7 separate regions of the Mus musculus genome follow, and all the other regions are reported to be linked to region 2. The links are microRNA targets in miRTarBase. Many come from high-throughput screens and were not tested one by one. Region 2 holds a microRNA gene; each other region holds the end of a gene's coding sequence.

The links. Region 2 holds the annotated microRNA mmu-miR-3102-3p (GAGCACCCCAUUGGCUACCCACA, at 1,582-1,604, opposite strand). A microRNA usually pairs through its seed, bases 2 to 8, with sites in the 3' UTR of a target mRNA and lowers its output. Matches are read on the target gene's strand: a 7mer-m8 pairs with bases 2 to 8, a 7mer-A1 pairs with bases 2 to 7 and ends in A, and an 8mer does both.
Region 1: miRTarBase lists Cdh11 as a target of mmu-miR-3102-3p. The part of its 3' UTR that is shown has no 7-base or 8-base seed match.
Region 3: the mRNA of Ptgfr is a reported target of mmu-miR-3102-3p. The part of its 3' UTR that is shown has no 7-base or 8-base seed match.
Region 4: the mRNA of Pigr is a reported target of mmu-miR-3102-3p. The part of its 3' UTR that is shown has no 7-base or 8-base seed match.
Region 5: the mRNA of Mrps24 is a reported target of mmu-miR-3102-3p. Seed matches in the 3' UTR shown: 7mer-m8 at 3,071-3,077.
Region 6: miRTarBase lists Ddit4l as a target of mmu-miR-3102-3p. The part of its 3' UTR that is shown has no 7-base or 8-base seed match.
Region 7: miRTarBase lists Taf7 as a target of mmu-miR-3102-3p. Seed matches in the 3' UTR shown: 7mer-A1 at 3,182-3,188 and 7mer-m8 at 1,673-1,679.

What each region holds. Positions count from the first base shown.
Region 1 is chr8:102,630,559-102,634,626 of GRCm38, reverse strand. It overlaps Cdh11 (cadherin 11), which reads left to right. Exons shown (of 13, transcript NM_009866.5): 13 at 1-2,532. The coding sequence ends at 313. Among named protein-coding and RNA genes, the nearest start is that of Cdh11, 150 kb to the left of the region's middle.
Region 2 is chr7:100,880,726-100,884,793 of GRCm38, forward strand. It overlaps Mir3102 (microRNA 3102), which reads right to left and starts at 1,684; the gene lies at 1,581-1,684. Arhgef17 (Rho guanine nucleotide exchange factor (GEF) 17) reads right to left here. Exons shown (of 21, transcript NM_001081116.1): 4 at 3,043-3,159; 5 at 2,745-2,837; 6 at 2,391-2,567; 7 at 2,048-2,098; 8 at 1,685-1,794; 9 at 1,495-1,580; 10 at 968-1,086; 11 at 454-667.
Region 3 is chr3:151,798,041-151,802,096 of GRCm38, reverse strand. It overlaps Ptgfr (prostaglandin F receptor), which reads left to right. Exons shown (of 3, transcript NM_008966.3): 3 at 171-3,487. The coding sequence ends at 473. Among named protein-coding and RNA genes, the nearest start is that of Ifi44l, 37 kb to the right of the region's middle.
Region 4 is chr1:130,850,605-130,854,672 of GRCm38, reverse strand. It overlaps Pigr (polymeric immunoglobulin receptor), which reads right to left. Exons shown (of 11, transcript NM_011082.3): 11 at 2,424-3,872. The coding sequence ends at 3,777. Among named protein-coding and RNA genes, the nearest start is that of Fcmr, 13 kb to the left of the region's middle.
Region 5 is chr11:5,701,126-5,705,193 of GRCm38, forward strand. It overlaps Mrps24 (mitochondrial ribosomal protein S24), which reads right to left. Exons shown (of 4, transcript NM_026080.3): 4 at 2,857-3,607. The coding sequence ends at 3,324. Among named protein-coding and RNA genes, the nearest start is that of Mrps24, 4.5 kb to the right of the region's middle.
Region 6 is chr3:137,625,702-137,629,768 of GRCm38, reverse strand. It overlaps Ddit4l (DNA-damage-inducible transcript 4-like), which reads right to left. Exons shown (of 3, transcript NM_030143.4): 3 at 1,437-3,803. The coding sequence ends at 3,313. Among named protein-coding and RNA genes, the nearest start is that of Ddit4l, 4.1 kb to the right of the region's middle.
Region 7 is chr18:37,638,994-37,643,061 of GRCm38, forward strand. It overlaps Taf7 (TATA-box binding protein associated factor 7), which reads right to left. Exons shown (of 2, transcript NM_175770.4): 2 at 1,498-4,068. The coding sequence ends at 3,494. The region is part of intron 1 of Gm37013 (predicted gene, 37013); the gene reads left to right. The region is part of intron 1 of Gm38666 (predicted gene, 38666); the gene reads left to right. The region is part of intron 1 of Gm38667 (predicted gene, 38667); the gene reads left to right. Among named protein-coding and RNA genes, the nearest start is that of Slc25a2, 2.3 kb to the left of the region's middle.

The DNA of each region.
Region 1 (4,068 bases), not on the chromosome of region 2:
CAAAGATATCAAACCTGAGTATCAGTATATGCCTAGACCTGGGCTGCGACCAGCACCCAACAGTGTGGATGTGGACGACTTCATCAACACAAGAATACAGGAGGCAGATAATGATCCCACAGCCCCTCCCTATGACTCCATCCAAATCTATGGTTATGAGGGCCGGGGTTCCGTGGCTGGGTCCCTGAGCTCCTTGGAGTCTGCCACGACAGACTCAGACCTGGACTACGACTATCTACAGAACTGGGGACCTCGTTTTAAGAAACTGGCAGACTTGTATGGCTCCAAAGACACTTTTGATGATGACTCTTAACAATAATGTTACAAATTTGGCCTTAAGAACTGTGTCTGGCATTCTCAAGAATCTAGAAGATGTGTAAACAGGTATTTTTTTAAATCAAGGAAAGGCTCATTTAAAACAAGCAGAGTTTTACAGAGAGGAAACATTTAATAAAACTGCAAGGACATCAAAGTGGAAAATACTGTGAAGTACCTTTTCCCACTTAAAAAGCAAATATTGAAGTTGTTTATCAACTTCAGTAGAAAAAAAAAAACCACTTGGCACACAAAATATTTAAATGAAGGAGAAGTCCACGGTGAACTTACAATGAAGGGAAATCGTCTATGTGTTAAGAACATCTAAGTCTCTCTTATTTTATTTTTTAATTTGTCAAAGAAGCTTCCACAAAATTAGAAAGGACAACAGTTCTGAGCTGTAATTTCGCCTTAAACTATGGACACTCTATCTGTAGTGCGTTTTTAAACTTGAAATATATAATATCCAGCCAGCTTAAACCCATACAATGTATGTACAATACAATGTACAATTATGTCTCTTGAGCATCAATCTTGTTACTGCTGATTCTTGTAAATCTTTTTGCTTCTACTTTCATCCTAAACTAATACGTGCCAGATATAACTGTCTTGTTTCAGTGAGGAGCACCCTATTTCTATGTCATTTTTAATGTATCTATTTGTACAATTTTAAAGTTCTTATTTTAGTATACATACAAATATCAGTATTCTGACATGTACGAAAATGTTACAGCATCACACTTATATTTTATGAACATTGTACTGTTGCTTTAATATGAGCTTCAATATAAGAAGCAACCTTTGAAATAAAAAAAAGATTCTTTTTTAATTCTGGGTTTGATTCTTAACATTGAAAAAAAATAAGGGTTTCTAATGATCCATTTATATTCCTAATTTAATTGTGATCTTTAATAACCCTATTTATGATCTGTTGTAGTCTGCTGCTCTCATTGTTTATTTAAATCAAATATGTTTGAGTTTTTTTAAAGATAAGATTCTGTAACTTCATGTAAATGATTTTTTGTATGTTCTGGCTTTTCCTGGAGTATATCTTCTAAAGAAGGACATTAGAGATCTAGACTAGCCTATGATTAGCCTATGATTTTACAATATGTTATATATTATGCATTTAACCTGTGAACTCATAGTTATGAGAGACAAATTCATGAGGACTGCCAGACCTCTCGATGTTCTAGATATAGACTTGATGCCCTGCCTTGAGCATTGTGGAGTTGAAGGGGTGCAGAGTCAAAGCCAACTCTGGTTTTCCTTATGTAATTTTTATTAGGATAAAGACTGACTGACAGTTGAAAGTTCTCATTTTTGTCCTCCTGTAATTTTATTTTGTCTTCAAACAATATAAAATTTCAAGTCTTAATGAGAGAAAGGGCAATTCACTCTCCAACCTTTATTATAGAAGATGCTTTGGGCCATGTACTCTCAATGAGATCAGGGATGATGCTGAACATTGATGATTGATGCCATTTGATCTGTGATAATGCCACAGTCATCTGCAGTTGCCTCTAGTTTCCTGGGAATTGGAACTTCTGTGAAGGACCTTTCACTTGTACAACGGACCAAAGGTCCAGACAAAGCAATACTTGGGAAGACATCACACAGAGTCACACTGCAAACACTTCCCCTCCTTTTCTTGAAACACAGGGCACAAACAATTTTTTTCTCTTGGATTATGGAAAATTTTGATTTTTTTTTACTATATTGTGATTATTTCATGAGACCTTATATACTGTTTTTTTATGATGCACTCCCTCCCAGTTCACTTTGCATTGACATCAAATCAGTTGACTAATTCAATGGGAGAAACTTAGTCGACATTGACACTTGAGAGTCTTTGATCCCAGGAAGGAATGTGTATTCTCAGTACTTGCATAATTGCAGGTTACGTTTATTTTATAGATAGGCTTTGTAATCCAAAGAATATTTTGCTAGGTTCATGCTGATCTCCAATTGAATTTAAAATTACTGAATAACTCAAAAGGAAAATGAACCTCACTCTGCTGTAAGTCCCCTCACCATCAATATGATCCTTTTACTTATATAGGAATGTAGTCAGAATACAGTTGACAACTTCTTTTCTTTTCCATTTTTTCTTTCTTTGTTTCTTTTTCTTTTCTTTTTCTTTTTTTTTACTTTAAGTATCTTAATGTTTGTAGAATCCTCTTAGAAGCTCGGAAATAAAATGTCTTTCCCAATTCATGGAATCTTTTGTCATTTGGAACATGGTACCTTAAGAGCAATCTTATCTTAGGCTGTCCTTATTTGGTTACAAAGCAACCACAGCTTCACGACATTGGTGTGCACACACATGAAAAAGAGTGCTGGTGTGTTCTCTCTGCTGGGTGTCTCTCTTGTGTGGTGTGGCTTGTATTCATCATTCATTCATTCATTCATTCATTCATTAATCAATTTACTGATGCACTCACTTTTCAAAATCTGACTCTTGCATGCCATACACTAGCAACTTGAGGTTTAGAATAATCCTTGCTACCTTCTTCAACAATGTTTATTCTTCCCCATTATGGTTCAAAATATTTTGTTGACTTCATTCACCTGCTTCGTGTTCAGATCAGCTACCCTTCAAGAGAATGTAATGCTGAGGGAAAAATAAGTATGATGGAATACATAGGAAAAAATGGTAAGATGGAGTATAGGTTTATTACAACTGTTCTTGTCAGAAATCCTGAGGATGATGTGGGAACATGAGATCAGGCCATCTACACCTATTACAGAGCATTTTAAAGATACTAATTCATGAAACCTAGTGAAAACAGCTCCCTCAGTGTGATGGGATCTGGTAAAGAGTGTTGGAAATTGCTCTGGGGTCTTGGGCTACACATTTGCCTACTGTCTGAGTGCCTTTCCAGTTCAGTCAGAAGAGCCAAAGGGAAACGGAACTGTGGAAGGAATAGTACCACGCCCTATGGAACAAGCAGTTCAGGACAGATTAGAAGCATATACACACTAAACATGACAGGACATATCCCTGGGTGAAATTATGACATAGTGAGATCATAAAATTCAGTTCATCAGAGATGGGAAAGAGAAACAGGGCTGTTTTGCTCAACCACTACTAGGCTAGTTTGTGAAAGTGTTCAGACTTACTTTTGCTCTTGGTTTTTCTCCACAGAGAAGTTACTGTGTTATTAAAACAAACAAACAAACAAACAAACAAACAAACAAACAAACACAGATTACAGGGTTCTACTACATAAGGTGTTTTTCTGTTTTTTTCTCAGACTTAAGATAAATTTTGACTCCTTTGCTTTCTTATACTATGAGAGTATGATCCTGTAAATCTCTTCAATTTTTTTTATCAGTCCATCTTGATGTCAATGCCTGGCACTGAATCTACACTACTTGCCTTTTAGTTCTCATATAGATAAAATATGCCCCTCCCCAACCTTACACAGTCCGTTAATGGCCAGTTACCTGGGTGCCAGTAGTCACTCATAGTTTATGGCCTTTTGGGGGTGGGGGTTTCTGAGCACCTATGAGAATGTAAGAAGTCATCGCTCCTGCTTTCTCGTTTTGAAAGAACAATAAATATTTGCTGTGGATGACAGCACCCTGACATAACAGGGATTTTGGGACTTGATGTCTGATTAAAGAAAAGCATTATGATTTTAAACTTCCCTTTCTGAGAAATTTGAACTCCTTTGATCTTGGTACCTGAGATTATGTTAAGAGGAAAAGAGGATGAAATTGGAGAAAAGAAATTTAGCAAAATGTAGA
Region 2 (4,068 bases):
CTTACAGTGGCTCTGGTCCCTCCCCATTCCAGTCTCCCTAGGGAGGGCCGGGTACCAGCTCAGCTAGAATGAGAGGTCATGGATTACTCCGTTTGTGTCTGGCCTCAGTTTTCCTTTCTGTACAATGAGTAGCCCTGGATCTCTAAGCTGTAGACTTAATAATAACTTTCCAGGACTTAGCTGAGTCTATACTGAGGAAGAGGAAGGTCTTGGTGGTTCAGGCGTATGCTGGGGTCCCTGTCCCCAAACGACTCTGTCCAGGAGTTCCTTCCCCCCCAGGAAGAAGCTGGGAGCCAGAGCAAATGTCCAGCCTGCTGCTTCACTGTGGAAGTCTCAGGCCACCTTCCCTATCGGCCGCTGGAGGACAGGAGGGCAGTTCAGAGAGTCCTGGCTTCTACAGTCAGGACTGCACAGGGACTGTGAGAGAAGACACCAACATGAACTCTGGCTCACCCAGCTTCCTCTTGGCCTCATCAAAGGCCTGCTCAAAGCCCAGGCGGGCATCCGGGTGGGGAAACTCAAAGATGTAGGAGTCGGTGCCCTCGGGCCGGGTGGCGCACAGCTCCAGCTTGGTGGGCGGGAAGGCCAGGGAGCAGCATAGCGCCTGCTTTTCTGACAGGTCCCGGTGCATGGCGGCCGAGAGATCCCTCAGTGCATCGTCTAGACTCTGTGGGAAAAGAACCCAGGCCTCAGGCCAAGGTGTCACCACATGGGCACCTGCACCGAGGGGACCGTGGAAGGCAGCCTCCTCCTGCCACAGACAGGGATGGGCCTTTCTCCCCCTCAGAGGTCTCCTCCCTCAGACCCCGGACCTGTCACTTCCCTTAAGTGGGAGCAAGACTATAATTTTCCCCTTCAGATAAGTGACAGGACCAACTGCTCCCTCAGGCAAAAGCCAAGACTGTCTGTCCCTCAGGCAAGGTCAGGGGAAGTCCCAGCCAACACTGCCTTAGCTCAGGGCACAGACCTGGTGGGGGAAGCCGAGGCTCTCGGAGAGCTTGCTCATTTGGCCCAGGGTGGCCAGGTCCTCATCCAGGCGGCTGATGGCTTTTTGGATGGTCTCCCGATTGGTGGCTTGAGACGCCCCTGGCGAGGACAGAGGAAAGCCATGAACACATCAAACAAGGTCAAGCTTGGACAGACACACTTCCCTTAGCGCACAGCCTTCAGCTGAGCACGGGATTGGTCTGGCAAATGGGAGCACTTCCAGACCCAAGCTCTCAGAAACAAGGTCAACAGGTAGCTCTCAGAAAAAAAAAACAGGCCCGGGAGGAGAGGTCTGGTTTAGAGTCACAGGGCACAGAACGGCCAACTCTTGGAGAACTTGCTAGGGCACTAAGAGGATGATTTGCATGGAAACTAACCCGGTTCTTCAAAACCAATCTCTCATATGGGATGAAAGATGAGTCACAAGAGCAGACAAACCAACAGACAGGCAGGCAGACTCAGGGGAAAGCCACCAGCAGAACCCCTGACAGACTCAGCCAGCCTCACCCTTGATGATGTCTGTGTCTTCCAGTGGCAGCTTCCACAGCATCTTGTATTTGCTGGCTGTATCAATGACGCTGGCTGCTGTGTACCTGTGGGTAGCCAATGGGGTGCTCTGGCTGGGGCAGGGAGTAGAGCCCACAATAGATCAATGGCTCTCCTGCCTGCACCACCCAGCCCCACCCTGGCCACTCACAGGCTCATGGAGCTGCGCCTCAGCGAGCCCGACTTTCGTTTCAGGGTGGTACAGACAATGAGGTCTGTGAACAGGAAGAGGGATCGGTCCTTCTTGCCTCCAATTGCCTTCTGTAGGGTCCAAAGTGGCATTCAGGCTCAGTGTGCACAGTCTAGAGGCCGACCTACATTACCCTAGTTCCCCAGGAACAGCAAATCCAAGGGAGGGGTGAGGGCTCTCCCCCACTTATGTGGAATCGGGATTCATGCAGGGCTCCCATTGTGTGGTGCTTGGGGAGCAGGAACCAGAGGGCAGCAGGCGCCAGAGAGTGAACTTGGGTGGGTTGAAGGTACTTGGGGGAACAGCCAATGGGAGAACCCTTACCACTTCAATAACCATCTCCTGCCTCAGGAACCGCCGCAGGGGGGCCTGGAGCTGGTGGGTAGGAGAGAACTAGTTATTAGTCTATTAACCCTGCAGTGATCGGTTGACCACTCTATGAACGAGGTCAGCCAGAGCGACATCCTGTCCTCGCTTGCATCACTGGGCTGCCAGACAGGGACACAAGGTCAGACAGAGGAGGAGGAGGAGGAGGACACAGAAGGGTGGGGCACTGTGGTCACAGAAGCAAGCTGACCACAGACCTGGACGTGGATGGCCACAATCCGGGTGACAGATGAAGACACAGACAGGGACAAGTTGGGGCACGGCAGGGTGGGGCACGTACATCCTCCATGCCCTCGATGTGGGCTTCGATCTCCTGAAGCACGCGGGCATGCCGCTCGGCCTCCTCAGCGCTCCGCACACCCTTGTTGATGCGCTCAGCCACCTGCTTGATGTTGCGCTGAGCATCGAGCAGCAGTGGGTGGTCTGGATGGTCTTCCGGTGTGTGCTTCAGAAGGTCCTGGGGCGGGAATGGAGACCTGTTTAGCTGCCCTGAGGTATTGAACTGACTGCTGGAGCATGAGAGACCATGGTATAGGCATCAAGGAGGACTTTCTTTCCTGCCTGGAGTCTGAGAACAGACATACTCCTCCCCCCGACCCCCAGGGCCTCCCTGTCCAGCCAGGCCCGTGGTTACCTTCACCAGAAGCTCATAGCGTGGGATTCTCTGCACAGGCTTGATCATGAGGTCGGACAGCGCCTGCTTTTCCTTGTTCTCACGCATGCTTTGCTGAAACCGAAGGCAGAGTGGAGGGAGTTCTCACATGAGGACTGACACGGCAGGAAGAGACACGCTCCTAGCCAAGTCCCTCCAGGTGAGCCCAAAGGCAGAGGCTGACACACTTGCAAGCACCACAATGTTTTTGGTCAAGAGCTCCTGGGATGCCCAGAGCTAGCCTGACATGTTAGCTTCACCCCTACCCCAGTCCACATACCTCCAAGAACTTGAGAAAGGCTGGCCTGGCCTCCTTAGCTACACGCACAGCATCCTTTGCATTGAGGAAGTTATCAATATAGGCCGAATAGATGTTCACCAAGACGTCTTTGGAAAACTGTGGGTGAGGAAGCAGGTTAGGCAGGCTCAGGTGTCCCTCACCCACTTCACCCTGTCCTGGCTTCTGTCTATTTAACTTGAAATGGTCAGGCAGGTCTTCTCTGTCTTTCTCAAAATTCATACATGTTGCATGCATGAACGTGACTGAATGAGCAGGTGTGTATGTATATATATGTATATATATATACACATATATGTATACATACATACAAATACATGTGCCTAGATGTGTGCTGAGACAAGACCTGGGTTGTTTTTTGTTTTTCTTTTAATGTTGCTGCGGCTGTTGTTGTTGTTTATTTGTTTGTTGTTATTTGTTTTCACTTCCAGACAATCTATCACCAGGTCTCCAATCCCATTAAACCAGCAAGGCAGGCCTCAGACCTTCCTGGTAGTAGGAGTGAACACATTATTGTAGCTTCTGGGACTCTGCCTGTGCAGTTCGTTCCTCCATGAGGAACATCCCTCCCAGCACAATAGACCCACCCTTGGCACTGAGCTGCAGTCTGCTTTTATGGAATGTGCCTGCTGCCTGACTTAGGGGCTCTCTCCTGGCAGAATGAAGCCTGGCTCAGGACAGGGTTCACAGTGGTGGCTAATCCTGCTGGTTGGCTGATGGTAGGTGCTGGTGGGGGGCGGAGGAGAGGGCTTTTCCACAAGAGAGGACAACTGGGTTCCAGTTTCAGCTGCACCAAGGACAGGCTAAGATACAGATCTTGGAGTCCCTGATTCTCTAAGGTGCCAAATGTTCCTGTCTCTGGACATGGCAGGGCTGAACCTGAGCCGATGAGGGAGGGCCTGCCTTGTGGAGCTCCCTGTCAGCCCACAGACAGCAGCCAGGTCCAGACAGAGAGTGAAGGCAACAGCACTTAATCCTACCTGGTGGCACCAGTTTCCAAGGAGCAAG
Region 3 (4,056 bases), not on the chromosome of region 2:
ATCCATGATTTATGGCATCATGCATTTATATCCATCAGTATTTTGCAACATGGCAGCACTTTGTGAGATGTGGTACAAAGGTCATGTTATATTTGTTGTCAACTTGAAAAACTGTGGGAATGAAGAAATGTCTGTGATCAACAGCTTTTCCTATTTTGCTTGTTTTCTAGGTAACAATGGCCAACATTGCAATAAATGGAAATAATTCCCCAGTGACCTGTGAAACGACACTTTTTGCTCTCCGCATGGCAACGTGGAATCAGATCTTAGATCCCTGGGTCTATATTCTGCTACGGAAGGCTGTCCTTAGGAACCTGTATAAACTTGCCAGTCGTTGCTGTGGAGTTAACATCATCAGCTTGCATATCTGGGAACTCAGCTCCATCAAGAATTCCTTAAAGGTTGCTGCTATTTCTGAGTCACCAGCTGCAGAGAAGGAGAGCCAGCAAGCATCGAGTGAAGCTGGACTGTAAATCAATGCAGTATTAGAAGAAAGTCACGGAAACTTCTGAAACATCTCAGTTGATCCGACTCATCGTGTAACTGGAACATTTGGACCTCTGTGTAGTTTGGGAGAACACTGGTCAGACACACCTTCTGACTTTTGTTAAGCTGACTGCTGCATGGTTGTGTATTTCATTTGTTTGTGTCAACAGGAGATAGACAGATACAATGTGGTGTCCTTGAGTAGAACACACATTTGAGTTTAATCTGTGTGGCTTACGTTCTTGGAATAAATGAATCTGTTGAGGCCTAGTGCCTTTATTTGACCTATTTTTCCAAGCACCTTATGCTACTTGCACTGTGACATGGCATTTGAGGATCCCTGACTTACAGACAAAGCTTAAAATGACACAAGTCATTTTTTCTGTTTGCGTGTGCGGTTCTGCTCTGTTTACCAGTCCATGTGTCCTCAATCAATATCTGCATGACCATGACATCTGAGACTCACGGTGACTTTGATGGCCACTGTGTAGGTTGGCCAGCCTGATATTGTGAGGCTGATGAGGATAATCATTCTTGTCACAACTGACAGGTATGAGTGCTTGCATTTGTTGTTATGAAGGTTAATTATTTTTCCATATTTGTTATCCTCCTATAAAGTCATAGGTTTTCAGTGTCTAAGTAATCTCCAGTTCCTCTGAAAATTGTAGAGAAATGCCGGCTTTGTCTTAGCACAGATTCAGCTCATGACAGCCTATCATGAGCCCTATTATAGACGATAGAAACATTGGAAACCCACTTACACATGCCAAGAACATGGCAAACGTTGCTTTATCTGAGTTGTCCTTTCTGTGTCAGAGAATAAAAGAAAAACAATCAAGACACATTTGAAGTCTGTTTGCAGCTATTCTGTTTCTGCCTTACACACACACACACAGACAGAAGGAAGTTCTGTTAACAGCAATTTCACTAAATAAGTTGAACCACACTTCCAAAAGCCTGTGTTGTCAGTGAGGAGTGGAAAGATCTAGAATTAGCCAGGAGTTTGGCCCCACTGTTGCAGTTAACCTGAGGCTAAGATTCTGTTGCCAAGTTTCCCAATCTTAATTCACACTTCTCCTTTGTTTTTATAATTTAACACAAAGATACTCAATTTCAGTAATCATTCTAAACATTAGGTTCAGCACTGATTAGGGTTAGTGATTATGTTTTATATGGAAATGTATTTTCATATTTAAAATGTTTCCTTGCTTCCATCAAGTTTGGCTTCATTTAAAGACTATTACTAGTTTTTGCAGTGTGTATGGATGTTTTACCTGAATGCATTTCTGTGCATCATGTGCATCATCCCGAAACCATGTGAATTCAATAGACTTAAAATAGTATCTTCAACATGATTTCTCTGTCAAGAGATCACATCCAAAGACCTTCTAGGTCTATAAGATCCGGCTGGAATGCAGACATGCCTGGACCTGGCTATAATATAGATACACCCTTAGTACACACATTTAATTCCTAACAATGAAGATAAAGTTAGTTTGTAGAAGGAAGTAGTCACTTTTGAAAGCAATGTCCAATTGAGGGGCAGATGGAGTGATGAATCAGAGAAAGTTTTGACCGAATGAGTTAGAGAAAGGATATGCCTAACTCACATGGGAATAGCACAGGAAAGAGAGGATACTGAGGAGCAGAGTAGAGAGGGAGAGAGGAGAGAGGAGAGAGAGAGAGAGAGAGAGAGAGAGAGAGAGAGAGAGAGAGAGAGAGAGAGAGAGAGAAAGGGGCTCTGGTGTGTGTTTGTGTTTATGGCAATTTTAGTTTTCCCAGGACAGTTTTACATAGATCAGCTGCAGAGAGAACAAGATGGGTGCAGGTGAAGACAGAGTGAACCAAAGAATGGGAAGAATCCAGAAGAGCAGAGCTTATTGACAAAGTTAGTATGAGGCCAAGCAAGCAATCAGGCAGAAGTGGAGAGAAGCCAGATTGAATCGGTTAGTTTGGAAGATTAGATTGTTTGGAGAGTAGAAGCTTTTAGGCCTAGGCCTAGGGGTAAGTAGAACAGAGAAAAAAATGCTCTGAGCTCAGCCTAAGCTGTGTATTTACACAGCTAGAGTATGGCTTTCATCTCATCTCTTTGTCTGAGGAAATGAGAGCACCATTTTCAAGCAGCTGCCGTTCTTAACTGCTGAGCCATCACTCCAGCCTTTCAAAATTGTTTTTATCTATAAAAATGACTTCAGATTCTAGGACTCAAAATACTATCTTCAAAAACTTTTGCTTTTGATTGGTAGTTTACACTAGATATGATTACTGCTTTTGGTAAATTCTCCTAAGTAAATTGAAAGAAATTAAGCTAATAGCTTAATTTGTTTAAGTCTTGTTGAAGACTTAAAGGAAATTATTTATAGTGATTCGAAAGGAATACACACTATTATGTGATAATCTTAAGACAAGTGATCAATCGCACAACTGATTCCTATGTAGAGAATATATCAGAGAATAGACAATGATTTTTGGTGTAACTTGAGCACGGAGTTGTAAAGAGCATGCACAATTTAAATTTAAGCTGACAGCTACATGCTGGTTTTTGTGATGTACATATGTATACATATATGTATGTGTGTTCCTGTGTGCATGCATGTGAGTGTTTATGAATATGTGTGTATATGTATGTGCATGTACATGTAGAATGCATATGATTGTAAAAAGGCATTACAATTTATGATTACTGTTGCATTACATAAGTGTTATCATCTTTCATTTCAAGAGTACTCAAAGCTTGGACAAACTTTCCGACAGTTCACTTACTTTCTGAGCAGATTTATTTTCTACAGAAATAAGATGTTGGCATCTTAAAAACAGAGGCATGAAGAACCAAGTCTCTGTCTTCCCTAATTATAGTTGGTAAAACTCTGCAGTTAACATGACCATGCATTTCAACTGAGGAAAGGCACTGAGAAGGGACTTGTTTCGAGGCTCCAGGGCTCTTTATTGTGAGCCTCTGATATGGACACAATTGTTCCTCTACTGCTGTGATGTCTACAATGAGACCATCTTTTAACATCAACCTGTGACGAAGGCAAAGCTCTGGGAAGTGCCAAGGAGTTTATTCAGTGCATATTCTGGAAGATTTATCTATACTATCTAAGCAAACTTTTAGGGTAAAAGTACTGATCTTGTGATGAGAATAACCCACAGTGTAAATATAAAAAATTGAAGAAGTTGCATATTATGCCTGACTCTAAAATTTTGTTTGTTATAGTGGCTGTTGTATACAGTTTACTGTGCAGTAGGCAATCGAGGATGCATTTTCTGATAACTTACATAGGCCTGAGTAAAAGTGTGCTTTTTCCTATTCATTAAAATAAACAGTACAAGGAGTTCCAACAAGCTCACTAGTGTGAGTGTTTAAGCCGTTTTGACATTTATAGTCTGTTGTATGAGGTAAACTGTTGTCTGCACAGCTTCACAGTCTATGGAAACATTGGGCCTTTGGAGAATTGCAATCTTAATAAGCAAACAAACACTAAACACTAAACCTTTTTGGAGTCTTTGTAAATCTTTTATGAAAATGAGATAAAATACATGTCACATTTCCCAAGGTTGCATATACAG
Region 4 (4,068 bases), not on the chromosome of region 2:
CACCATTTAGCTTCGCCAAGCCTCCAGCTACCACCTTTGTCAGGGACCAGTGACCCTGCAGCTGCTGCCCACACTCGGGCCCCTTCCGTTTCTTTTTGTTCCTCCCGGCTTAGCGCAACCTAGCCGCCAACACTGACCCGGCTTCTCTTGTCTATCTGCCTTTGCTCCTGGAAGGGTCGAGTTATCAGCCCCACCCGAGATCTGTGAATCCACGGATAAAAAACACACAGCTTTATTACTTTAGAACTTGCCGGCTAGCACAATTGCTGAACACAGATTCTCCTGCCCTCAACTTTTCAGCTAGCCTTCTCGATCTCCTTGGCCATCCTCTCTGGTGGCAGAGGCCGCTGGTTCTAGCTTCCCCGAGATCTTACATGATTTAGTGCTTCTCGTTTCAGAGCATGGCAGAAAAGCCCTTCTCTTTTCCTCTGTCTCCTTTTCCTCCTGAGACTCGGAAGTCCTACCTGTTCCTTCGGCCCAGCAATTCTATTGACCAAATCAAGGACCTATTAGGACACCAGACTTTAATATCAGCATCTCCCCCTACAGGAACTCTAGTCATTTTAATCCTGACTCCTCTTCACTGGGGCACATAGAGGCAGCTCCTCATCTATCACCATACCCAGAAATCCTTTTTTTAATTTACTTTTGAGACAGATCTTGCTAGGTAGTGGAGGTTGGCCTGGAATTCACAGTATTCAGGCCTCACTGTCGCTAGTGTTGTGACTATAGCCATGTGCCACCATACTGAAGGGCCTTGGAAGATACTCTCTTGAGCCCTTGGCTCACATGGCAAGGTGACCTGTTTTTCTTTTCTGCTGTAGTTTCATGGCCAGCTTACTTGGCACTTCTGCCCCCAGTCTTAAACCTTTTATCTAGTGTGCCCCTTTCCCACTTGAATAGCATTATTTCTGAGATAATGCCTCATTATTTCTTTTTATGGTACAGGCTCCCCAGTACAATTAAATACTCCGGGAAGCTTGGGTGATGGGCACACTACAGGCTTCTTTGCCATGGGGTCCAGCTTCATAGTCTTTATCCTAAGTGGTTTGTCTCTAACCTCTTGGAAGAATTCTTCAGTCTTGAGTGTTAGAAAAGTCTTAAATGTTTGGTTTGATATTGAAAGTAAAGTCAACCGCCACCCCAAATATCTCAGAACTGCTAGGTGGGCCTTGTTACTGTATAGTTGTACCATTATGTCACAGCCTCTCAAAGATAATTTCCCTAGTCATCAGACGTTTCAGTGACTCCCTGAGTGGTGGTGGTGGGGCATTGCTGATCTGCTTATCATCATCACTCTCACCGTTGATTATTAATCTTTTGTACAGAATTAAATATCATCCTAACAACATTCAGGTCCACCTGTGAGTCAGCTTCCTTCTTGTAAGGAACTTCCTCGGGAGCAGATGAACTTTATGTAATGCCCTTGCTACTGCTTACTGAGAATACAAGTTAGGAATAATATGACATTACCTGTGGCTTTAGTGGCATTTCTTGGCCTCTGGGTACAGGGATTGGGGTAGGCCATGTGATGAGCCCAGGATCGGGCCTCTGGTTATTGACATGAATGCAGACATTGAATCTTAACTTCTGTTGTACACAGAGCCACTGCAAGCAGGATGGAGATGGGGCTGGGGCTGGGGCTGGGGCTGGGGCTTGGGCTGGGGCTGGGGCTGGGGCTGGGGCTGGGGCTGGGGCTGGGGCTGGGGCTGGAGCTGGGCTGGGCTGGGACTGGACTGGGGCTGGGCTGGGGCTGGGCTGGGGCTGGGGCTGGGGCTGGGGCTGGGGCTGGGGCTGGGGCTGGGGCTGGAGCTGGGCTGGGCTGGGACTGGACTGGGGCTGGGCTGGGGCTGGGCTGGGGCTGGGGCTGGGCTGGGGCTGGGGCTGGGGCTGGGGCTGGGGCTGGGGCTGGAGCTGGGGCTGGGCTGAGGATGGGATGGGGATGGGATGGGGATGGGATGGGGCTGGGGCTGGGGCTGGGCTGGGGCTGGGGCTGGGGCTGGGCTGGGGCTGGGCTGGGGCTGGATGAGGATATTGCTGCAAAAACAAGTGTCACAGCTTACAATTAATTATATCTCTTCTGGGATGACTTTCTATCATTACTGGGGAAGCTAGATCTGTATTCTCATTACAAACAAAAGGAACCAAACATTCCTCATCATTTTCTCTGTCTCTTTTTTCCTGGGTGGGAGTCCAAGACACTGATCTAGGCTAGGGCTAGGGAATTAAGACAAAGTACTGCAGTTGGTGGTCCGAGAGGATTGAGCTCAAGGAAGAACAAATTGGTCAGTATTTGTCCCCAGGGCATAATGCTCAAGATCTCTCAGCTTAGCTTTCATGGTGGCTGAGTTTGTTTGAACACATATTTTGGGGTGTCTAAAGTAGGAGCTAAGGTATGGATGACAAATGCACTCTGAGCCTCCTTGGTGGCAATCATAGACTTTAATTATTAATGGACATTTCTGATTTGTTGGTTTCGGTCTATAGGTGCTGGTTGAAGAACAGAGCTCAGAGAGAAACAGTCCTAATTTGACTATTGGAAAAACAGCTGCTCCCAGGCTCCATCTTCTACCTGTCTGCTCAAAACTCTCCAAATACAAGAGGTTGAGAGTATCTTTCCCTTATATGAGGTCCACATGAGTGACAGGAAGGGGAAAGGTGAGACCAGGAAAGATCCATTTGTCTTTTTGTCTGTCTGTCTTTCTTCTTCTTCTTCTTCTTCTTCTTCTTCTTCTTCTTCTTCTTCTTCTTCTTCTTCTTCTTCTTCTTCTTCTTCTTCTTCTTCTTCTTCTTCTTCTTCTCCTTCTTCTCCTCCTCCTCCTCCTCCTCCTCTTCCTCCTCTTCTTCTTTTTTCCTTCTCCTTCTTCCCCCTTTCTACTCCTCCTCTTCCTGCTCCCTCCTCCTGCTTCTTTGAATCCAAGTCTCAATGTATCCCAGGCTGGCCTTAAACTCCCTAGGTAGCCAAGGATTACCTTGAACTTCTGATCCTATTTTTACCTCTTAATATTGGGATTGCAGGAGCACACCACCATGCTCCTTTAACTCATTTTCTCTTACTTTCCCCCATGCTAAAGTTCTCCCTCTAATAAGAGCAGAGGTCTTGAAGACAGATCGTAGGCCAAGAGCCAGGAGTTGCCACATCTGGTTTGACGCTAGTCTATCTCACTAGGCACTCTTGAGAAACATCTCTTCTCATCTGAAAATCATGATGCCCTTATGGCTTGTGTATGCCTATGAGGCACAGAGGCAGGAGGTATGCCTGGTAATGATGTCTTATCTTAATGAAAAGACAGAATCTGGGAGGAGATGGCATCTCTTCCAGTAATATTTATAGAAAGATTGTGGCCTGGCTCTCAGCATTTAGTAGGCACTGAAGCCTAGTGAGTTCTCAGATGTGTTGTTTGAATCAAGAGGATAGGAAAGGAGAGATGGAGGAGAGAAGAGTTACGCTGACATCCTATCATATGGTTATAAAGAAGATTCAAATGGCCTTTTCTCCTGAAACGAGCCCCTATTGTGAACCCTCTTCCTCCAGAGATGTCTCTCAGGTTCACCTCCTCCTCATTTCCACCTCACTCTCTTCATAGAGAAAAGAACGCCTCACACTCTCTCCTAAACAGGCGTAACTAGGCCAGGCTTCCATGGCCGAGGAAGGAACCAGCACACCTCTGAGGACAGGAGGGAAGAGCGGAGGTGATGGGTGAGTGTGGGCTGCGAGCAGATCAGTGTGATTCTCAAGTTGATTGTCACAGGCAAGGGTGGGTGGTCAGCACTGCCTAGGCTTCCTGGGGACCATCGTGGACCTGTGCAGCTATGGTGCTGGACTGAAGCAGGAATGCCGAGTAGGCCATGTCAGCTTCCTCCTTGGATGACTAGGGAGCAACAGAAGAGGCGTTAGTAGATGTCGGGTGAGAAGGACCTACATCTGAGCTTCTGAGTTTCCCATCTCTGCTGGAGCAAAACACTTCTGAGACCTCACTCTGAGCCAGCCCCCGGGCTCAGCAGGAAGAGATAAAATTTGAGAAATGGAAAGTTGTAGCCTCTAAAAATATCTCCCTCTGTCTCACT
Region 5 (4,068 bases), not on the chromosome of region 2:
GGGTCTCCCCACTTCCAGTAGTATGATCAAGAACATCCCTCACAGGTGTGCCTTTTAGTTGATTCCTGGCCTGGTCATGCTGACAGCCCACATGAAATACTAAAGACAAAGCATCAGGATTAACTCCCTGAGAAGCAACTGAACAGACAATGTGAGCCGCCTTGCTTTTCTATGTGTGTTTATAAAGTTCTTCAAGAAAGCATGGGCGGGGGGGGGGGGTATGGGGGACCTTTGGGATAGCATTGAAAATGTAAACGAGGAAAATACCTAATTAAAAAAGAAAGAAAGAAAGAAAGAAAGCATGGGCAGATTACAGTGTTTTGTAGATATTTGTTCAACATCTTATCACAGAAGCAGCCTGGTTTTAGCCAGAATGGATTCAAGATAAGCACTGTATATTCTGAATCATATGATTACTCATAATTACTGTATTTGTTTCCAGAGGTGGTTCTATAAATGCTACTGAAAATGTGTAAATTCATAATGTCCTGCATATTAATAATAAAGTTTTGAGATTGTGCCTTAGAGCTTCAATGCTGTGAAGAGACACCATAACCAAGGCAACTTTTATAAAGGCAAACATTTACTTGGAGCTGGCTAGTTTCAGAGAGTCAGTCCATTATCATGATGGCAGGAAGCATGGCAGCGTCCGGGCATATAGGCTGCTGGAAAGGACCTGAGAGTTCTACATCTTGACTGGCTCTTCTGCAGACAGCCATGAGGAAGGTCTCTTCCACACTGGGTGGAGCATAGGACCCAAAAGCCCACTCCCATAGTGACACACTTCCTCCAACAAGAGCACACCTATTCTAAAAAGGACATACCTCCTAGTAGTATCACTATGAGCAAGCGCACCACCTATCCTGTTGCATTCCTTCACTGACATCAGACCCATCTCTCTCAGGCTTCCAAGGTCAACTGAAGATCAGCAGCTCCCAGAAAGCCTCCACTTGGGGCCTAGTAGTGTCATTTCCTCCAACAAGAACACACTTATTCCAATGCACACAGGCAAAACAAATGTGTAAAATACAAATGTCTTAAGATACTTTAAATTTTTTATCATAGACATGTTTGGTTTTGAGTCTCTATCTTGTATTTGGATATTCTGCCTTTTAGGGAAATTGCCACACCCACTCCAGTAAAGACTGTGTGACAAGGCCAAAAGCTTGGATACAGTCAAGGAAACTCAGTCTCCTGGAACCTTGGCACAGATGCTCCAAACCTGTCCCAGCGTTAGTCAGTGAATGGGTCTGTGTGCTTTCTTTCAATATTGTTTTATTATAGGTGCCTCTAAGAAATGATTTTACTAATACCTAAATCAAATTGAACTTTGCTTCCGGGCCTTCACCAATGTCCTAGGCAGTCCTTGAGCTGACCCTGGGCTTGGAATTTCGTAAGAATGTTATTCATCCAGACGAAATGCCCCAGTGTTGACAGTAATCAGGCATCTCAGTTTGCCGGATAGGAGCTAGCATTCTCAGTCTAGTTCAAAATAGTAAACTTAGAATTCCCATTGCAGAAATGAATGGCAGCCTACATCACATTAGGGGGAAGTAAAGTATTGTATTATTCATGAAAGGGTTAGTAGAACAGAATTCCCCTGGCCCAAAGGAACAGCATAAGTAGGTATTTACTAAGGGACCCCTGCTGGTGGGCTTAACAATACACTAACATTGCATCAGACCTTTCACCTGGCTCCTGTGAATAGCTGACTTTAAATAGGGCTATTCCTATCTCAGTTGAAAACACTGCCTGGCTCCTGTCAGCTTTTTATTGTATGCATTCTTTGTTTTGTGTGAAGAACCATTATGCATCTCAATGTACCTTGGCTGAAATATCACCTAGCTTTCTTGTTTTTCTTCTGTATTGTAAGTCTGGCGTTCGCTTTGAGAAATTACAATCAGATACAGCACTCTCTCTCTGGTGTCTGTGTCTGTTTTGTCATCCTCCAACTCCTTGCTCACCTCTATGGGTATCCTGGTTCCCCCACAGGTTGAAGGACCGACTGAGCCCAGTCCGTGGCAGGAATTACCCTGTTTTATCTGTGCTGAAAAATGTTGATATAGATTATTCATAGTATCCTGTCTTATCCTTAAATTTTTAAAGCTTTGTGTTTTGCCTATGCGTATGTTTATTCGCCATGTGACAAAGTACCTGCAGAGGCCAGAGAGGGCACTGGATTCCCTGGAACTAGAGTTACAGATGGTTGTGAGGTGCCTTGTGAGTGGTGGAACTGAACCCTGGTCCTTAATAAAAAGCAACGAATGCTCTTAATGGGAGCCATCAGTTCAGCCCTTGTGTAATAAGTACTGACCAATATTTTGTTGATTTTTCTGATAGACCCTTGCTGTATAGCCTGGAACTTGCTACTTAACCTAGGCCAGCCTCAAAGTGCAGTCCTCCCCCTACTGTACAGCACTGGACAAGACATCCAGCCAGGCTCAGCACTTCCTATTTTTCCTTTTTTTTTTTTAGATTGATCTATTTTATATGAGTACACTATAACTGTCCTCAGACACACCAGAAAAGGGCATCAGATCCCATTATAGATGGTTGTGAGCCACCATGTGGTTGCTGAGAATTGAACTCAGGACCTCTGGAAGAGCAGTCAGTGCTCTTAACTGCTGAGCCAGCTCTCCAGCACCCATTTCCTTTGTTTGTTTGTTTTTTCAAGACAGGGTTTCTCTGTATAGCCCTGGCTGTCCTGGAACTCACTCTGTAGACTAGGCTGGCCTTGAACTCAGAAACCCACCTGCCTCTGCCTCCTGAGTGCTGGGATTAAAGGTGTGTACCACCATTGCCTGGCTCCCCACCCCCCACCTCCCCATTTTCTTAAGGTACTTCCACTGTTGATTTCCTGTTGAATGTTTAATTCATTTACAAAAGCTAACTGTAACTCCAGCTCCAGGAATATCCAATGCCTTCTACTCATGTGCACACACACACACACACACACATACACACACACACAGACCCATCCACAGACAGACCCACCCACGCATAATTAAAAATAAAATCTTTAAAAGAGACCAAGAGAGGCCAGGCGGTGGTGGCACACGCCTTTAATCCCAGCACCCAGAGGCAGGCGGGTCTCTGAGTTCCAGTCCAGCCTGGTCTACAAAGTGAGTTCCATGACAGCCAGGGCTATAGAGAGAAACCCTGTCTCAAAAAAAAAAGAAAGAGAGAGAGACCCAGAGGGACAAAACATGATCAGGGTTTTATTCAACAGCAGCTTGGAGCTGACGCCTCCACCTCAGAGAACAGGCATTTGGTCTCCTGCACCTCTGTGACCTTGTAGGCTCTACTGGAGAAAAGTGCACTTTTTATATGTACTTGTACACGACCTTGGAGGGCACAGTTTGCAGGTGGAGTCGCACAGGACACTTGTAAAAGTGTGACAACAGAGTCTCACTGTAGCCCACGAGGAAGTAGAATTTGTGTGCTGGCAGCTGCCTGAGGACCAGGGCACAGATGTCCACTTGGTTGGCCCGGCGCTTCAGAACAATCTGGTCAGCCAGGCAGCCGGGAAAGGTGCCCATCATAAACTTTCGAAGGAAAACATCCTCCAGGGTTCTCTCTGCAGCATGATCTTCTCCATCCAGGTTACCTAAAGAGGACAACACACAAGCAATCGTCAGCCAAGGGAGCTGTGCAGACCCCAGACCTGACATGGAACAGGCCTGGGCACGCTAACGGAATAGGAAAACATTCTAAAATCCAAAGCGCAGGGATGGCAAGACGGCTTAGCAGGTAAGCGTGCTTAGTGTAAACACCTGCCAATCTTGGGTCAACCCCGAAGTACACCTTAGAAGCCAGATTTACTTCCCCTGTTGTAGCTGCCTTTGAGTCATCTCATTAAACCCTCAGTCCACAGCTCCTCACACAAAAGCCAGAAGCAGTGGCACACACCAGTCAGCCTAGCACTCTTACAACGAGATGACGGAGAACTGCCCAGGAAGTTCAAGAGATGCCTGGAGTCCAAACCACAGCAGACACGAGAAAGAGAGAGGCCTTGTCTCAACAAGGTGGTGTGGAGACAACTGCCTCAGAAAGTCGCCCTCTTCTGAC
Region 6 (4,067 bases), not on the chromosome of region 2:
TGAGAAATGCATATAACAGCCTTCACACACACACACACACACACACACACACACATACATACCACACCATCAACACACACACCATCAACACACACACACACACACTACCACACACACACCACCAACACACACTCACACACATGCCATACATACCACTAACACACACACCAACAACATACACTCACACACACACATACTACCACACACACACACACACACACACACACACACACACACACACACACATAACACACATTACTAACACACACTCACACACATATCACACACCATACACATACCACTAACACACACCACACACCACACACACAATAATACATACACACACACACACCCCTAACACCCACCCACCCACCAACAACACATATCCTTCCTCCTACAACACACTTACATACCATACACCACCACACACACACATACCACCACACACACATACATATAAACACCACCTACACACCCTACTACCACCAGCACACACATGCACACACAACACACACACATACTAATACTCTACCACCACTATATACACCCCAAGACTCCCCACCCCACCCCCACACTCACCCCACACTCACTGGTTTAATCTCTTACATTAAAAAAATAATCACTAAGTGATCAAATCAAGTGGTCAGGCTTGGTGGCAAGCGGCTTTACCCGGTGCCACCATGCCATCTCACCTGTGCCACCATGTCATCTCACTAGCCTATGGACAGGTTTTAAAGTCTGAGCCAATTCCTGCTACCGATGCGTCTTGCCAATAGTTTCCTCATTTTTCTCTACCCGATTTGAAACCACACTAAGCATTTGCTTTTGGAGTCCTACACCAAGTACAGGAGCAGTGGGGTCTTTGTTTAGCAAGCTTGAAGCTATAGTTTCAATCCAAAGCATAAATTAAGACTATACCTTTTCAAATCTCTTTTCCAAGCAAATGTTTCTGGCCCTGTCTATGCTGTCTTCACTGTGTATAATATTGTTAGCTTATCTTTCAAATGTTTGAGGTTATACCACAAGAAATCCGAGGGAATGAACATTAATTTGAAGAGATAGAAAAGGTATGTGAAAAATTAAATTCTAATTGAATAATAGGGGAGTTAAGGAAGGTCTGTCATTTAATAGATTAGGAAAATTGAATATGTATGCTGGTCATATAATTAGTTATATATTTGAAACTATGCAAAAAGTCTTCATACAATAAGTTTTGATATTTGTTTTGAACAAGGCAGTTGCCATTGGTGCTCAGATCATTAATGTCTTCCTATAGAAAATATGAGAAATACTGAAAATTATGAGAAAGATGCATTCTTTATTGAGGTATAAGTATTCAAAATAAGTGTAACTCATTATCTTTCTCCAAATACAGTCAAGTCTCTTCTAGGGTGATCATGACACAAATGCAGAAAAAACAAAGAGGCCAAGGGAATTAAAAATATATAACATTTTATTGTAAAAAATTGACTTTAACAGGATTGTTATTGCAAGAGCCTCCTTCAGCCATTACTATTTTGAGAGTCAAATGGGCAGGAGAACCAGAGAACTGCTAACGGGTAAAAGATCTATGTCCATGCCTGAGAAGCCTCACCATCTTCCCCAGCAAGACTCAAAACAGCTACAGAAACACAGCGACCTTCAGAACCTGGGCATCTGTAAGCCTACAGATCAACAGGGTTTTGCCTACTGGCCCAGTCTTGTGAAGACTAGCTCCGTGGTACCTCCCCAAGTTAGAAGACGTGCTCATTGGAACAGTGATGTCCTAGGTCACCCATAAGACCAGTAACTATCAGGCTTGTTTGTGTAAGGTCAGGATGAAGACATTTGTCCCAGCCAAGCTGGTGCCTGAGGTATACAAACTCATACTGAAGGCCTAGGCAGGTGACCCGAAAATGTTACTTTCCATGACCCAAGGAAGAAAAGACCTTGCTGAATAGAACAGAGTTACGTGGAAGGTAAATTGTCTCATGGCCATAAAACCTGAGAAACATCTAGTTACTTGAAATGAAGCAAAAGCTAAGCAAAAGAGGCATTTGCTGTTTCCTAGGAATGGGCTGTGATATAGTGGATGGAGCTGGGTATGTGCAGTGATTGTCTTAAGTTATCATAGGACTTTCATATCTAGTCTGTGGTAGCAACAACATCTCAGAGTCAAGTCAGGCTCTGCCAATATAAGCACATTGGTAACTAAAAAGAAGTGTGATGTTAAGGAAAGGTGATCCAGTTCCTAGAAAAGACCAGAGATGAGCTAACTGCCATGTGGTGAGACACTTCACTGGAGAGGAAGCATCTTGGTGGCACAAAGCAGCAATGTGACCTAGTGGATCCGAAAGGGACGGGATCTGAAATTACCCTTCTCCATCTTTAGAGATGGGTAATCAATATTTGCTCAGTCAAATCAACTCTATGCAAAAAGACAGTCATTTCTTTTTTTTTTTTTATCTACTCAAAGACAATGTAAAAAATGATAACATTCAACAGTTGGTAACTAGGAAAACCAAGTTGACACAATACTACAAAGGCACTGAAAGCCATCATGTAATCATTGCAGTAAGAGGCACACTTCTCGTGTCTCCTGGGCACGGGTGTGGGGAGACCACCAGGCAGGGAAGCCATGCTCTTGTCACTGTGATGTTTATTCGCTCTATGTAAGGTGATGTTTTAATCCAGCGGATCAATTTAACTGTACCCTCTTGTGTAAAAGCTCTTCAAATTCAGGGAGGAAGCTGGTAGTGCAGATCTCTATATGTTTTGATGGGGCTGCACATCATCTTGTCAGGTCCTGTCATTGAAAAGATGGCTCTCAGAGAGGGAGGGAGGGGAGGAGAGAGAGAGAGACAGAGAGACAGAGAGAGACAGACAGATATATATATATACACACACACACACACACACACACAGAGAGAGAGAGAGAGAGAGAGAGAGAGGCGGGTACAATAACAGCAAGCCCTGGGCACATGAAAGTCAAATTAGGCAAAGTGGATCTTGCTCTGTTGCTAAGACTACCTGCTAAATATGAGACCAAATATAAAATTAAAGGAGATTGCTTCTTTTTCCTCCTTATTCCATTCTATCCCATATGGACACATATGTGGGCAATTTGCTCTCTTGAATTATGTCTTAAAAGCTGGACAAAAAAAAAAAAAATCAGCCTTTAAAGTGGGTTGCTATGGGTGAGACACACAGAAGGAAAAGGGCCTAAATCTGGGATTTCCTGGTGAGGGCAAGCAGGCAAACTACAAATGACTGGCTGGATAGCTTCAGAGGTTTATTATCCACTCATTAGGGGCCTTTAATTGTTTTTCCTCCTTAGCACTCTTCAATGACTGTCGTTCCAATCAGGGAGTACAGTTTTTTCTTCACAAGTCGAAATCCTGAGCTGAGAATCAGAGTTCGCTTAAGGCCTGAGGAGAAGCGACCTCTGCTAAAGAAGAAGTCCTTGAGGCTGGTCCACGGGCAGCTCTCCTGCTTAAACACAAGCGTGAGCTCAAAGGTCGGCACCACGCTAGCATCACACACGATCCTATCCAGCTTTTTACATACATTTTCAATCTCCAAGTTCACGTGCATAACACAACCCCGAAGGCCGCAGGGCTCCGTGGACGAGAGCCGCAGGACATCTTGAGCAATTCTCTGGGTCAGTTTCTCAGGGACCAAGACCTTAGAGCAACCAAGTTTGGTTTGCTTTGATCTGGACAGACAGTTCTCCAACATTTTAACCAAATTCTGGCATGTTGTCTCTTCAAATACCACCTCGTTGAGGTTGGGCTCAGGGACAACATAATCCCAGTAGTCGAAATCTGAAAGAAATGAAAGTTTTAGTGAACAGAGAAGCAAGGTGTACGAGGTCTTACTGGCATAGTAAGACTGGCCACTTCTAGCTTCATATCTACCTGCTTTTAATACTGCTTTCTCTCATCTCAATTTTGCTGTTAACCATGTAGGTAATAGAACAGGCCTTCTAACCTTTCAGGACTGAAAGCTCATCTATGCCCTAAAGACTCTGATAAACATAATGAATAGGTTAAAACAACCCTCTTTTACAATTTCTTCTCTCCCCGTAG
Region 7 (4,068 bases), not on the chromosome of region 2:
ACAAGAGGTGCTCTCAGCTGATCCAATCTGGATTTTAGAACAGTGCTTTCAAAGAGAAGACAGGCCATGCTAGGGGCCACATACTTTTAACTCCAGCATTCAAGAAGCAGAGACTAGTTGAGTTTGAGGCCAGCCAGGGATATATATTAAAGGCTCTGCCTCAAAAATAAATAATAGAAGCCGGGCGTGGTGGCGCACGCCTTTAATCCCAACACTTGGGAAGCAGAGGCAGGCGGATTTCTGAATTCGAGACCAGCCTGGTCTACAGAGTGAATTCCAGGATAGCCAGGGCTATACAGAGAAACCCCGTATCGAAAAACTAAAAAAAAAAAAAAAAAAAGAATAATAGAGAAGACAAACTACTTGGAAACTACTACATTTAAGTCCGTGGCAAGAAACAAAACATCCCACAGCAGCTGCTCTTCTCTGGGACAGGCAAGGCAGAGCTCGGACTCCCGCCTTACAGAGGACCCCAGATTTGGGATCAGTGTTTCTTTCATTAGCTTTCATGAACTATATTTAAAAGGTTTTAGCCTGGTGGAGTGGCACACACCTTTAATCCGAAGCAGGTGTGAGCAGATTTCTCAATTCAAGGCCAGCCTGATCTACAGGGACAATCCCAAAAGGGCTACAGACCCTTTCTCAAAAACAAAACAGTAAGGTATTAAAACTCAGATTGTACATGGTAAGAGGTAGAATTTTTCAGCAGATGGCCTTTCCTTTGGAAAATGTCCAACTGTTGACATTTGAATTTTCTCTGAGATAACTTTTCTTTAGAGATAATATTCTAAGATTTTTAAAAAGATTTTACTAATTTGCAATTATGTGCAGCATGGAGATCAGAAGAGAGCTAAATTCCCTAGAATTGGCCTTACAATAGGTTGTAAGCCACCATGTAAGCACTGAAAACCTAACCTGGGTCCTCTGGAAGAGAAGCAAGTGCTCTTAGCCCAGGGGCCAACGCTGCAGAACCTAATCACCCAATCTCAGACGTGTATGTATGCCTAAACATGACTTAACAAGGCCCCTACAGTAAATACATAGAAGCTTGCACACAAATTCCTTTTCAGCTGCTGTTCACCTCACTCTTAATCTGTGTGTTTTGAGTTGGGGCCTCCATTGGTTCAATTTATACAGAAAAAAGTAAACTTTCTATTCTCTGTGAGATGGCTTCAAAGGATAAAGATCTTAGGTATCAACAACTCTGAGCACAGACTTTAATGAGTTCCTTCCTTACAGCTAATTACCATCTGTAGTGGCTAACATTAGGAAAAAACTATTATATAAGAGATTCACAGGGACTGGAGAGATGGCTCAGTGGTTAAGAGCTCTGACTGCTCTTCCAGAGGTCCTAGGTTCAATTCCCAGCAACCACATGGTGGCTCATAACCATCTGTAATGGGATCCAATTCCCTCTTCCGGTGTGTCTGAAGACAGCAACAGTGTACTCACACACATGAAATAAATCTTTAAAAAAAAAAAAAAGATTCACAGGTTGATAAACATTCATATTTTTAGACAAGTCTCTAGAGGGTCTATATAACAAAATTATAATTTTTGCATTAGAAAACTACATAAATGTAATGTTTTGTATACAAATAAAGGCATGAGATGATACCTCTTAAAATGTACTAATCAGTGACAGAGCAATTGCCTAGTGTTCCCAAGGCCCAGCACCCCCAACACACACACATACACAAGCATAATCTGCCCTTGAACCCATAGACACTGTCTTTATAGCATACTCCTTAGCTAAGAGCTGCATGAGAAAAGTGAATCTTTAATGAGAATGTAGGATTTAGATCTCAATCTTCATCTTTTAAATTTTATTAACAGATAATTACTCCTTATGCCATTTTTAGTATTATTATAAAAATATCCAGAAACAAACAAGAAAACTACAGGAATAAGTTGAGTCAATTTTTATGCTGTAGATATTCTAAACCTTTTCCAAAATAGACGGTTTGAGCCTTTGTTGAATTTGAAACAAAACCTAATTAAAACAGCTGTTGCCTAAGCCAGGCCTGCCCATGCACACCTACAGTCCCAGCACTTGATTGAGAGAACTGAGTTCAAGGCCATCCTGAGATACAGAGTGAGTCAAAAATAAAAAATTTCTTTGTAAACACCTTACTATTCTCTATCACTCTTTAATGCCTTTTATGATCCAGTTTAGTAAATGGTAACGTTTCTTTGTTAACTCTTCACTCACCATATTCCAGGTACTGTTCTAAGTAAGCCTGCCTTATGATTTAAGTCAGTCCAATAGCCCTGTGCGGCTGGTAATACTATCACCTCCATTTCAGAGAGAAGAAAATAGAAGCAAACGGATTAAGCTACAAATTACACGGCCCAAAAATCATACAATCAAGTCACTGATATGTACTGGTATGCCTTGACCTCAAGCTGTTCAGACTAGTTAGGGCTTCAGAGGCTCTGGCAGCCGTCAACAGCAATACAGAAGGCAAGTTCTCAATGAAAGGGGCCAGATGACTTCCATTCTGAATTCATACTTAGTTTGCCTAGGGGCAGCTTTTTAGTATTTAAAAAAACACACAGAATTTTTCTCTGTATATGAAATTTTAAAATCCCAGACCAGGACACAGGTTTTCATACTGGGAAATACTAATGAAACAATATGAATAAACATCAGTCTATTAAATAATTGTAGCAGTTAAATTGGCAATAGTTAAAATATAATCTTAATCTAAGCATGTGGAATAGTTTATCTGATAACTGCTTCCAATATTTTACAGATAACCTTAGTGCTTAAGAAAAAGATACAGATATCCATCCATAAAAACTAGGATAGTTTAAGAAGGCTCTAGACCCAGTGTTCATAAACCTCCAGATGAAGTGGGTGGACCTGAACCTTAATATATAATGCAACAATGAATTTCTCCATTTCCTTACCTGGTGCTTTCCTTTTCCTAAAAACAAAAGAACAGGATTTATCTTGATCTACACCATTCAGTCATTAAACTCCATGAACCACCTCAACTTTCAGTATTCATAGAACAACATCATAAACAGTGAAAATTAGTAGCTTTTATTGTATAAGAAACAACCTTTATGAAAAACTTGCATTTCTGTAACATGGAAACTTGCTGAGGTAAAAAAAAATATATTTCTTTTAAAAGAAATTAACTTCACTGCCTGTAGGCTAGCTTATTACTGATCTTAGCACCAAAAAAAAAAAAAAAAAGGACTAGAAACTTTTAGGAAACAAATTGTAATAAAGTCCTGTGATTAAAAGTTCAAGTGTTTTCATTTCACTCATCTTTCTTATATCTTCCCTACAACAAACCTGTCTATGTAATCCTATTTTCTTAAGAATGAAAACCCACCACCATAGTTCTGAAAAACAATCAAAAAATTTTCAACAAAACTCAGGGAATAAGAACATTTCAAAGAAAAAAAAAGTATTTCAAGACCTTACTCTGAAAATAATTTTTTCTTGAGCTGACTAGTCTAAGGACTAAAGTCAACAAGCTCACTTCTCCAGAAGTGATTCCAGCTCTTCCTGCAAAGAGCTAAGCTGCTCCTTTTCGCGGTCTTCTTTTTGTTTGAGCTCATCCAGAACTGCCTGAAACCTGTTCTTGAGAGCCAGGTTTTCTACCTTCATAATGAGATCTTCCTGGCGCTTTGCCCTGTCTTGGGTTTCTTGGAGCTTGCCTTTCATGTTATCTATCTGCTTCTGAATTCCCATAACCAACTGATTGGTTCCTTCATTTTCTTGGTGTTGCTCGTCGGATTCATTTAGCTTGTCTTGTAGCTGTCTCTCCAGATCTTCCTCAGTGTCAAGGATGTTTACGTCTTCTTCATCTTCACTGCTGCTGCTGAGGTCATTGAATATCTCTCGAAGCTCATCATGCTCTAGTGAGTCATGGCCTTGCCTGTGGCCAGACATTCCTGGAGAAGAGATGTCCAGGCCTTGATTTTCTGTCTCCTTTGTTTCATCTTCAGCAATTATCTCCCAACGAGTACTGACAGCTTCTGCATCTGTACTCAGCAGACGCTTGACTTCTTTTTCCACATCCGGAGATTCAATGTACTTCTTCTTTGCTG